Linked DNA regions of Drosophila melanogaster. The protein of the gene in region 1 interacts with the protein of each later gene in a pairwise test. Each region holds a gene or a part of one and is shown in the gene's direction. Other genes may lie near its edges.

Evidence for each region.
Region 2: the proteins of O-fut2 (region 1) and CG10444 interact in a two-hybrid assay, tested with the Drosophila melanogaster proteins (one large-scale study listed by BioGRID).
Region 3: the proteins of O-fut2 (region 1) and CG15211 interact in a two-hybrid assay, tested with the Drosophila melanogaster proteins (one large-scale study listed by BioGRID).

What each region holds. Positions count from the first base shown.
Region 1 is NC_004354.4:1,464,148-1,467,900, reverse strand, and holds O-fut2 (O-fucosyltransferase 2), read left to right. Parts: upstream 1-1,904; 5' UTR 1,905-1,921; coding exon 1,922-3,394; 3' UTR 3,395-3,538; downstream 3,539-3,753. Other genes in the region: CG14777 (uncharacterized protein), read right to left, coding at 1-90. UniProt on the Drosophila melanogaster protein: Catalyzes the reaction that attaches fucose through an O-glycosidic linkage to a conserved serine or threonine residue in the consensus sequence C1-X-X-S/T-C2 of thrombospondin type I repeats (TSRs) where C1 and C2 are the first and second cysteines of the repeat, respectively.
Region 2 is NT_033778.4:20,272,802-20,276,554, reverse strand, and holds the start of CG10444 (uncharacterized protein), read left to right. Parts: upstream 1-2,055; 5' UTR 2,056-2,316; coding exon 2,317-3,298; intron 3,299-3,355; coding exon 3,356-3,753. Other genes in the region: CG9143 (uncharacterized protein), read left to right, coding at 1-88, 151-409; CG11788 (uncharacterized protein), read right to left, coding at 470-569, 628-1,767, 1,827-1,864.
Region 3 is NC_004354.4:10,770,790-10,774,542, forward strand, and holds the start of CG15211 (uncharacterized protein), read left to right. Parts: upstream 1-1,751; 5' UTR 1,752-1,837; intron 1,838-1,978; exon of another isoform or gene 1,979-2,008; 5' UTR 2,009-2,209; coding exon 2,210-2,377; intron 2,378-3,753. Other genes in the region: BTBD9 (BTB (POZ) domain containing 9), read left to right, coding at 1-283.

The sequences.
Region 1 (3,753 bases):
GAGCGCGCCCTTGGCCATGGGATGCAGCTTGCTCCCTCGACGCCACTGGCCCAGCGAGGCCTGCAACAGCTTGACGGCCGCAGGCACCATCACTTATGCTGCCCGGAAGGAGACATGGAGAAGGGTAACGGGCGGGTCTTAGACTATTGCTCAACCTAAACCAAAACAACGACAGCAACGACGACGAAGGGGAGGTCGGCCTTCCTAGCAATATTCGAAGGTCATTGAATGCGCGCCGCGGGGACAGGAGCTGGCCATGGTACTTAATATGGAGGGTACTTGCTGTGATCTGTGCTCTCTGGTATGTGGCCTGTGGCTATGGGGTTTCGATATCGCTATGGGCTGTTCGCCTGCGCCGAATGCCGCACTGAAACTGCACGATGAGTGGGATGAGTGCAGTTTGCGAATGCTAAATTCAAACATGGCAGTCGCGGGATGCACAAATATTAGGCTTCGCGAGCATTTCTTTGCGGCGATCTTGACCCTCAGCCGAGCGAGCGGCACCAACACCATGTGCATGCCGCTCACAAAAGGGAGGGGTGCACATTGGGCACATTGGGATCTTGACAGGCACGAGACTGAGTATTTATGTATATATGGCGGGGGGAAAAACATTCCCGAATTACGAAATTCATTCTACGAATTTGGTCGAGTAGTGAACTCTGTACGAAGCATCCCAGTGACCCTCAATCAGCTCCTGGATTTCCTCTCACGCAACGAGAGTGGAAGTTTTTTTTGCAAGGACTTTACGTAACGAGACAGGCGTGTGGGTTCGGGTGCACGAGGGGGAGGCTCGCCATTGATGAATGAAGAATAACGGCACGTTTGGCTCTCCCGCGCCAGTCACTACGCAAACACCTTACGTCGCTCGTAAACGAGAGCGTGACCGAGCAGATCGTGCCGCCCGTCGCCCCTCCATCTTCGTTTCTGTTGTTGCTGCCCGGTGAGTGGTGTGTTAGTTAGTTACTTGCTTTCGTAGAGCGTTCCGGACGGGGTAGAGGGGTCCAGACGGCGGGAAAGGGGCCTGGGTTCAGCTTGGGATTAGCTAGTCTAACTTAATGTAATCTAGTTTGTACTGTGGTCACGCACGGCGTCCGCATCTCACGCCCTCCTCCGTTCGCTGGGCTTCCGTATCTCGTATCTGACTGAGTGAGGCATCCAGACGGCCCCAAAACGCCAGAACGCCAATACGAAATGTTTTGCACACTCAGCTGTTCGAGATTAGCGAGCGAAGCTTTCGCGCAGCTTTTTACATACGCTTTTTTAAAGACCCATTCAAGCAGGTGCTATATGGAAATCGTTGGGAATAATAGTGCAAATAGACATCGATTTGCATTCGAGCTCGGCAACAACCTTATGAGAATGCGGATTTTTTGATAAGAACACTATTACTGATATCCTGGTTTTCTGCCAGTTTTTTGTTCACCACAACGTAAATAACAGCCCCATCATTAAGTGCCATACCTCGTTGCACTCGCAATAAAAATTGCAATCGAATGGCGTTCCAGGCTGGAAATGAAAATTTTTTTACATTTTTCGCAAAATTTCTTGATGTTATCCCTTATCGAAATTGCAAAATTTTGGAAAAAAATAAATTTTTCAAAATCAGCAGGAAAGTGATATGGGTCGTTAGTTGGGATCGTAAGCTGCACAAAACTGTAAGTTTTTTGGCTGTGTGGTTTTTTTTTGCAAAGTTATGGTGTATCACTCCCGTAATGTACATGGGTTTTCTATAGGCCTTTTTTTATAAAAAAAATTATAGGTTTTATCTGTACAGCTGCTAAAATATTGGAAAGAGTGGATTGTCCGTTGTTAGAAATCAAAGTCATATGTTTTTCTTTGTTTTATTCCCGTGTAAAATACCAAATGCGTTAGGGTTTTTTACTGACCGCCGCCACAGCCACTCCATTCCAAACCAAAAATGCGAGGGAGCTGGCCCAGGCTTGGGTTCCCGGCGCTGCTCCTGCTCCTCCATCTGCTGACCGGCTCGGATGCCGCCGTCCGGAATGGGACTGCAAAGCGGGAAATTGGCGATTCCCGGGGAAGCAGCGGCACCTGCGTCAAAGGGTTCCTGCAGGAGATCCTGCCACTGCCAGCGACTTGTCCGCCTGAGGTGCTCGGGATGAGGGGCGCCGTGTATATCCTTTACGACGTAAACATCTCCGAGGGCTTCAACCTGCGCCGAGACGTCTATATTCGCATGGCGGTGTTCGTGCGCCGGCTGCAGAGGAGAAGGCGCTTTCGCCATGTGCGCCTTGTGCTGCCGCCGTGGCCCCGCCTCTACCACTGGCACTCGCAGGGCCTGCAGCAATCTGGACTGCCCTGGAGCCACTTCTTCGACTTGGCCAGTCTGCGTCGCTACGCGCCCGTTCTGGACTACGAGGAATTCCTGGCCGAACAGCGCTTATTCGGCAATCCTGGCGCACCGCTGGTCCATGTAGGGCACGCTTTCCGGTTGCAGCACTACGAGGTCATGCTAGAACAGGGCATATTTCGGGACAAGTTCGAGCGCGTCACGGACAAGCCGTGCAGCGAGGGATCCCTGTCGGGAGGACCATTGCTGCAGCAGGCGGAGCTGCGCGTGGGGCGTTTCCACTGCGTTCGGTTCCAGGGCAGCGCCGGACTGCTGGAGAAGTTGCTTCGCGAGGCGATCGACGAGGACACGGCGGGACCGGAGGACGTCGACGACATGCGCACGTACGCTTTGCTCAGCGCCGAAACGGTGCTTCACGACCACTGGGGCGACGAGCACTTTTGGCAGGCCCGGCGTTCCATGCGTTTCGCCCGTCGGCTCGAACAGGTGGCCGCCGACTTCCGACGGCAGGCCCTGGACACCACAGATGCTTCGGCCGGTGTCCAACGGCCCGCCATGTGGGAGCTGGAGCGGCCGAAGCGCAACGCCAAGGGCGGCGATTACCTCTGCGCCCACCTAAGGCGGGGCGACTTTGTTCGCTCGCGGGATGCGACCACTCCCACCCTGAAGGCGGCTGCCCAGCAGGTCAAGCAGCTGCTGCGCGGGTTTAACATGACCACAGTGTTCCTGGCCACTGACGCCACGCCATACGAGCTGATGGAACTAAAGGAGCTCTTCTACCGCTTCCGCCTCGTGCACTTCGCGCCGGAGTCGAATGTCCAACGAAGGGAGCTGAAGGATGGGGGCGTGGCGGTGGTGGACCAGCTGGTCTGCGCCTACGCCCGCTACTTTGTGGGCACCTACGAGAGCACCTTCACGTACCGCATCTACGAGGAGCGCGAGATCCTCGGCTTTACCCAGGCCAGCACCTTTAACACGTTCTGCAAGGCCTTAGGCGGCAGCTGCTCGCGCAACGCCGTGTGGCCCATTGTGTGGGCGGATGGCGATAGCGACAGCGAGGAAGATTCCGACCCGTACTGATCCATCTGTAGCTCCCACCTGACATCTCAAGACCTAGTTTTAAGTCCAAAGCCAACGTAAGAGAGCAAACGGGATTCCGAACCACCTGCGATTGTGTACCAAAAATAAATCTAAAGCCAACAGAAAAGTGCTAGCAGAAAAGTCAATTATAATGTGTAATGTTCAGAGGGTAAATGTTTAAATTTACCCGCTCCTTTAGCGTTGCCACATTCCAAAAAATGCAAATTGAAATTTAAACTCGACCTGTAAATATCGATTGACGACAGGAATCGAATCTCGCCATATCGATTTCACGATAGACCTCGATAGCATTTCGGGCAAACATTGCACGTGTTTTTGACAATCAAAATAATTATTTC
Region 2 (3,753 bases), on another chromosome or scaffold:
AGCTGAAGCGCGTGCAGAGTGAGCGCGGCTGGATGAAGAAGCACGCTGAGGAAATGGACATGATCATTGATGGCTACAATGACGAATCGTAAGTTTTTTTTAACAAGATCTCATTAAAATGAAGTCTATGACTAACTCTTACTTTTGCAGTGGCAGTGACCAGGATGAGGATCCATTTGTGATTGAGCGACGTCGCAATCGGCTGCGCGTGGAGACAGTTAGAGCGCAGCTCAATGCTCTCCTGGCCCAACCCATCTTCCCCAGAGGCTTCAGCTTCAAGTATCCCAACAGCGAGGCGGCCCAATTAGCCACGAGTCATACTCAAAGTGCCGTGGAGACCATGAAGGCGGCCATAGAGGACCAGAAGCAGGCCAAAAAAGATCGCAACAAGCGAAAACGGAATGCCTAATCTAACTTAAAGCTGTTTTATTGAATAAGAGATACAAAGCTATAGCCTTGGATGTTTCCATCAATGCTTTGAAACAAAGTATCGCACACCTCCATCGGTCAATGAGCGAGCGTGCTTGGCCAATAGTGTGGAAACGGACAAGTTTGGGGTGGTAAAGCACCTAGTTATAAAACCGAAAATCAAAAAAACAATCTAGATATGTGTTCATCATTACTTACTCTATGTACGGTTCCATTTCCTCCATCGTCCATCTCTTTTTAGTCTTAAATAGCGCCCGCATGCGATCGCTTATATTGGTGGGCAGTAACTCCTCTGCCAGGGAGCGTATGCAAGGCTGCGCTCCCTCCTTGTCGCAAATGCCCAGACCTCGTAGGTACTTTAAGTCGCAGGACATGCCCTCGGGCAGTACCTCCTGCCAGGTGCGCATGAACTCCTCGTTGCGAAAGCGCAAACCCGGCTGAAGAATGTTCTGTGCCACAATGCGGGAGACCAAGGACTCCTGGTACTCAAACTTGCCCGGGCAACGTTCACTGGGAATGGTATAGATATCAAACAGCCCAGCCACAACATCCTCTGGAGCTATGCCCTTCAGTGCATTGATGGTCTCCTCCCGTTCCACTTCGTCCAAGGCCCAGGAGTTTTCGCTTATCAAACCCAGCATCATGTTAATAATGCGATACTCGTATTCGTACTCCATCACGCGCATTCGCCCGTCCAGTTCTATGGCTCGATATTGGTTCAATCCCTCCATGAACTGACCGCGGCTGCACTGCACCGTGTCCAGGAGCTGCGAAAAGGTAAAGAGTAGCTTCTGCTCCACGCAGAACTCGTTCTCCGGCCCCGAATATCGAGTCAGCTGCAGTAGTTCACCCAGCTTGCGAAAGCGCGGCTTTATCTCGCGGCACTCGAAGTACTCGTGGAACACCTTGAGCACCGGCCGCTGCTCCAGAGTTCGCGGCACTTCCAGTTCATCCTCCGTGCTGTCATTGAGGCTGCGCTCCAGGGAGGCGTTGGCGTTGCCAGTGCGCGGACTCTTCAGCGGCGAGGTGCTGGTGGCGGCGGCAAACTTGAGGTCCGGTACCAGCAAAAGGCTATTGGATATTTCCGCGCCCTTCACGTCGTACGTTCGCTCATCGGTGCACAGCACCAGCTTCTCGTTCTGGCCACCCTTGAAATATAGCGTCTGGCCGTCGCGGATTTGTCCAAGCATGTGCCCATCGAGCTCCAGAAGGCGCAGATTGTCCGAATCCACGTCCGCCGAGGGAAAGTACAGAGCCTGGGTGAGTTGGGTCAACTGGCGCTCGTCCAGTTTCGCATGCTTCACAATGGCCTTCACATCCTCCGGCGTGCGAACGTAGCTATGGCGGGTGGTTGGGTAACATTATAACTCCTACGCAGGCATACCAAAGGCACTCACAGCTGGGCAGCAGACTCATCAACCTCCATGGATTCCATGTTCGCTGCATGTAAACAAAACAAAAAATTAACCAAAACAATGAGCGGGAAAAAGTAGTGGGACCAAAGCACAGCAATGTTGCTTTCGTTGAGGGTATTCAATGGCCTTTCAATATGTAAGCTTAATGTGCTTGGAAAACATTACAGCATTAATCCGCACACCCTGCAAGGGCACACTCACCGCTCAGCTGATCAGTTATTTAACGGTCGTAGCCTCGGCAAGAACGTTTCTTTTTTGAGCGGAGATTTCGCGAGCACGCGTCTTGTTTTCCGCCGTTCGCCGTGCACTTGGACGCGCACTTTAGAAAGCGTTGACTGCGCCAAAGGTCATTGCTGGGCAAGAGAAGCGTCCAATCGCCGCTGGTGGTGACGCTTGTGGAAAAATCAATTCGGACCAGTGACGGACGTCGAACTTCCAGTTCTCTGACAAGCGGAATCCAGTCAACAACAACATGCCCGTGGGAACGTTTGACGCCTGGGATGCGGCCGTGCTGATCACCATCCTGGTCATATCGGCTCTGATTGGCATCTACTACCGGTATACAGGCGGCAAGCAAAAGACCACACAGGAGTATCTGATGGCGGACCAGAGCATGACCACTTTTCCGGTCTCCTTCAGCCTGATGGCAAGCTTCATGTCCGCCATCTCACTGATGGGCGTCTCCAACGAGTCCTACGAATTTGGTACCATCTTCTGTGTGATCAACATTGCCTACGTGCTGAGTACGCCCATTGCCGCGTACTTCTTCCTTCCTGTTTTCTACAGGATGCGGACGACCAGTGTGTACGAGTATCTGGAGCGGCGCTTTGGCCAGGCCACCCGGCTGTCCGCCTCCCTGGCCTTCACCGTGCAAATGGTGCTTTACATGGGCATTGCACTCTATGCACCAGCGCTCGCTTTAGAAGCTGTAACCGGCATTCATCGGTCAATGGCCATCGTGGTCATTGGACTGGTGTGCACCTTCTATTCGACACTTGGCGGCCTGAAGGCGGTGCTCATCACGGATGTGTTTCAGTCCTTCCTCATGTTTGCCGCCATCTACGCCGTGATTGCCGTGTCGGCCATTAAAGCCGGCGGATTCGCGGCCATCTGGGATGTGGCTGTGGAGCGAGGACGCGTGAACTTCATTGAGTTTTCATTGGATCCCACCGTGAGGCATACTTGGTGGTCTCTGATCATTGGCGGCATGGTCACTTACCTCTCCTTGTATGGCGTTAATCAAACGCAAGTACAGCGACTCCTGAGTGTCCGCAATTTGAAGAGCGCTCAGTCGGCGCTTTGGTGGAACCTGCCCATCCTAGGAATGCTTAGTTTTAGCACCATTTTCAGTGGACTGTCCATATTCTACTATTATCGAGATTGTGACCCTTTGCTAAAGGGACGCATCGACAAGCGGGATCAGATCATGCCCCTTTTCGCACTGGAGACTATGGGTGAGTTGGAAAGACATCCAATAAGAATTAGCATTATTTGATTTCTTTTTCCGGCAGGTCAATATCCTGGACTGTGTGGTCTGTTCGTGTCCGGAATATTCTCCGCCAGTCTTTCCACGATTTCGTCGGCAGTTACCTCGCTGTCGGCTGTAACACTGGAGGATTACCTGAAGCCCTTGTACAAGGCGATATTTAAACGGACGCTAATTGACTCCAAGTCCACGATGCCCACCAAGATTGTGGCGTGCATTTTTGGCCTGCTTTGCATCGGTCTAGCTTTTGTCGCTGGCTCCATGGGCGGAGTTCTTCAGGCATCGCTTACCATTTTCGGTGTGGTAGGCGGTCCGCTGCTGGCCATTTTCACACTGGGAGTCTGCACTACACGCAGCAACCAAAGAGGCGTGCTGCTTGGCTTCCTCGTTTCCCTGATAGTTTCCTTCTGGATGGGATTCGGC
Region 3 (3,753 bases), 9.3 Mb from region 1:
GCCGCCACAGACAAGGGAAGTGGCCGTTGCCCCACTCACTCCGCCAGCACTCTCCCCGCCCGGCACGCCAGCACTTCCGGCTCCTCTGACCCCGGCAACCTCGTCGCCGCATAACAACCATGAACAAAATCAGCCAAGTAATATCAGTGCAGACGCAAGCCACCACACCAGTCCAAGTTCAAGGAGCAACCCCAGTCCCAGCCTAAGTAGGAGCAGAAGCCAGAGTGCGGAGTTGGAGCCAGTGCCGCCATTGGTTGAGCTTGACACCAGGGAGACGCTCTGAGCTGATCGCCGCTGCGGCCGATAATGTTTTGTACTTGAAATACTCCTGTGGTCTGTTAGCTGTTAGTCTCCGCGCTTAGTTATATTTTGCAGACCGTGCTGCTCTTGTTATCTAGTCCTTCCCAGTGCCCCAATGCTTGGTGGTTCCAAAACCTGTGCATTGCATATTGGTTTTGCGTTATTACCTTCGTTATATACTATATGTATATACATATATATATATATAGATATATGTTTTTATAATTTTATTGTGATCCAAAAATAATTCCTTATGTTTGCAAGGCAGCAGAGTTATTTATATAAGCAATATAACTGAATTCTATGCACACACACACCCACCCACACACACACCACACACACACACCACACACACACACACATGTTTAACGCGAACTCGAATGCGATTTCCGAGCAGCTGAACCAAAATTGTATACGATATCCGATCGCATAGTATAAATCTGTACTGTCTAGCCTTATGTCCGGTCCATGTCCTTGTCCAAATCAATCCATTTGATCCGCAACTCGTAGTCTTTAGGCTCATCGAGCGGCCCAAAAATTAGGCTCTATTTATTAGGCAAATTTTGTCATAGTTTGTATTGCACGCAAATAAAAGCTAACCAAAAAAATGAAAACACCGCTTATTGTTTCACTTGCAAACCAATCGGTTTCTTATAAAATTTTTAAAGTCCCTCACACATTTCAACCACGAATTGTGCCGTGTGTGACCACTGTGCACCACACATGCCACCCACTGTTGCCCCAACATCCACAACACGCTCCACTGTTTTGAAATTCCGATCAGAGGCGACCCACGGCCGTGCTGCAGCGGCAGCCATAAAAGTCGAATCAGAACGTTAAACCAGTTGCGACGCACAGTGGGCGTTGGGAAGAGAGAGAGGGACGCCGATCCAGCGAGCGAATCAGAAAGAGATGGCGAAATGCAGTGCTAGCCAAACGGGAATTTGTGGGTTCTTGAAGAAAACTAAAAAAAAAAGAAAATATTACTCATACGCCGCGTTGTCTACATGATTTAATAATATATATTGCATATTTTGTACGGATGGTTTTAATAAAATGTAAATGTTTTATTGAGAAATCTAGACAACTGTATTTATTTAATAGTTTTACTTTTATTTTGGAATGAACACAATCACACAATACGGTCAATCTGGCCCACTGTGCCGATTATAACAGTTAGCGGCGCAGGCGCAACAAACTAGTTTGCCCCACAAGCAGCGGGGAGTGGCAACTAAGGGGGGTGGGGGGTGGTTCTATTTAGGGCGTTGCAGGGGCGTCGTCAAAGGGCGCGCGCAACTAAATAGCCAACTGACTAACTAACTAACTGGGAGAGCGCGAATGTGAGTGTAAGTCCGAGTGGGAGTGGGAGAGCGAGCGTGAGTGCGCTAGTGTGGAGCGGAGCGGCGTGCGGTTAACCGTTAGCCTGCAGCGGCGGCAAGTTCAGCTCGCAGTTCAGTTCAGTCGACCAGCGGCCGCCGTGGACAAAGCAACGTAACGCCAAAGCAATCGCAGCGCAGCTCATGGATATATAGCTACAGTTAACTACCAGATACTAAACTACACACATTTCACCACATACCCAAATATACCCACCACACGCGGCATATATCTCTATATATATATTTGAGAATTAGAGGCGTGGGGGTTTAGGGGGTGGGGTGGTAACTCGCGCGAGGGCGTCACACGCGTTCATATACATCAGATATAGATATATAGGGTAGCTGCCGATCGACCAGCGAACATATAGAAAGCGGTGGTTATTTTTCTCATCTTATTTTATTGTGACAAAAATCGCGACAAGTGTTTAAAAATAGTTGTTGTGCCCAGCTAATAAAGTAAACTTGCCCGCCAAACTGAAACTGAAACTGAAACTGAAACTAAGCCAAGCCAAACTATAAACAGCAACAATATGGTCGAGACCGTTGTCAATATCGAGCGCACAACAACAACAACGACGAACGGACCGCCAGGTGGAGCGAACCCGACCGTTGGCAGCGGTGGCGGCTTCTGGAGCGCCATTCGCCTCAACATCGACTATTTCCGCACCATACCGGGCATCATCAAAATTGTGGAGTTTGTGAGTACATACAACTAGCTGAGATATATCACTACTATATTTTTATAATTCATTATAAAACAAATGAAAATCTAATACTTAATATTGCAACATATGATATTTCGAAACTATTGAATACGATCCACTTGAGTAGAAGTCTTTTAAAAACTGAAACCAAAAACTGGGCCAAATTTCCAAACATATCAAAATTATGTACATTACATGTTTCTAAACTCTTAGATTTAAAATATGCATAAATGTCGGTTTAAATAGAACTTAGGAATGCGATTATGTTGAAAAAGTACCATAATGTACATACATTATTTTGTGGAATGCTAAATTCAGACATAAGTTTCCGAATTTGGCTGTTATCGTATTTCCTCGAAACTGATAGAGCCTTCGAAACATAAAGTTTCAGAGGGAAATATTAAAATATACGTTGGATAATTGTTGTAGAGAAAAGTTAGAATTCCTCATAGCACTCTTATCGTCATAAATTGAACGGTTTTATCTAGAGTTTGCCTTCCGCCACCATTCTTTATCGAGATATCTCGAGACTTAAGAAACCCTAGAGCCTCGATGTGTACTCAATTACACAAATATGTATACAATATGCCCGACAACAAGTGTGTTGTGCACTTGCCCCTTTTGTGTGTACATATGTCAGGATCTCATTAGACTTACGACGGATAAGATAGGGGTAGACAAGTTGTAGGAACTGCAAACATGTGAGCTCCATGGCCATGTGGTCAACTCATAGCCCTCTTCTTGTATTCCACAGACGTTAAACACTTAACGCATTTGGCCTGGTATTCGAAGCTATGTATGATCTATCTTTTTTCCCACAAATCCGCAGCAAAATGAAGTTAAAGTGTGGGCGATGCAATCGGTATGCGACGCCAACACAAGGTACTCGCAATTATATGAGTGGGCACTGGGGTAACTCAACTACCGCTCGGATGGATCACCTGCTCAGGTGTAGAAAGTTTTCAGGCAAAAATTTCTCTATTCTCAATGGGCCAACGCTTGGTGGGCACAAGGTCAAGGGATAACGACAAGTGCTTGGGACCCACATGAAAAATGCATTATTAAGCGCTCGTCAGTTGTTACGGAGAAAATCAATAGCGGATAAATGGGAGGAGTGCTGGGTGCTTCGATGATATGATTACCGTCACAATAAGCTGTCGTTTATTAACTTATATATATTGATTTTCTGTTCTGAAAATCGGCTATTATCAGGCGACTAAGCTAGTTTAGCTGACGGCTGACGAAGTAATTTGCGGATGTTCTGGTAGGACTTATTTCCAATTCATATACTAATCTGACCAAAAAAGGAAAGCAAATACTTGTCATTCAAATATGCTTTGATTTCACCAATGGCTAGTTAATTTTCTTTT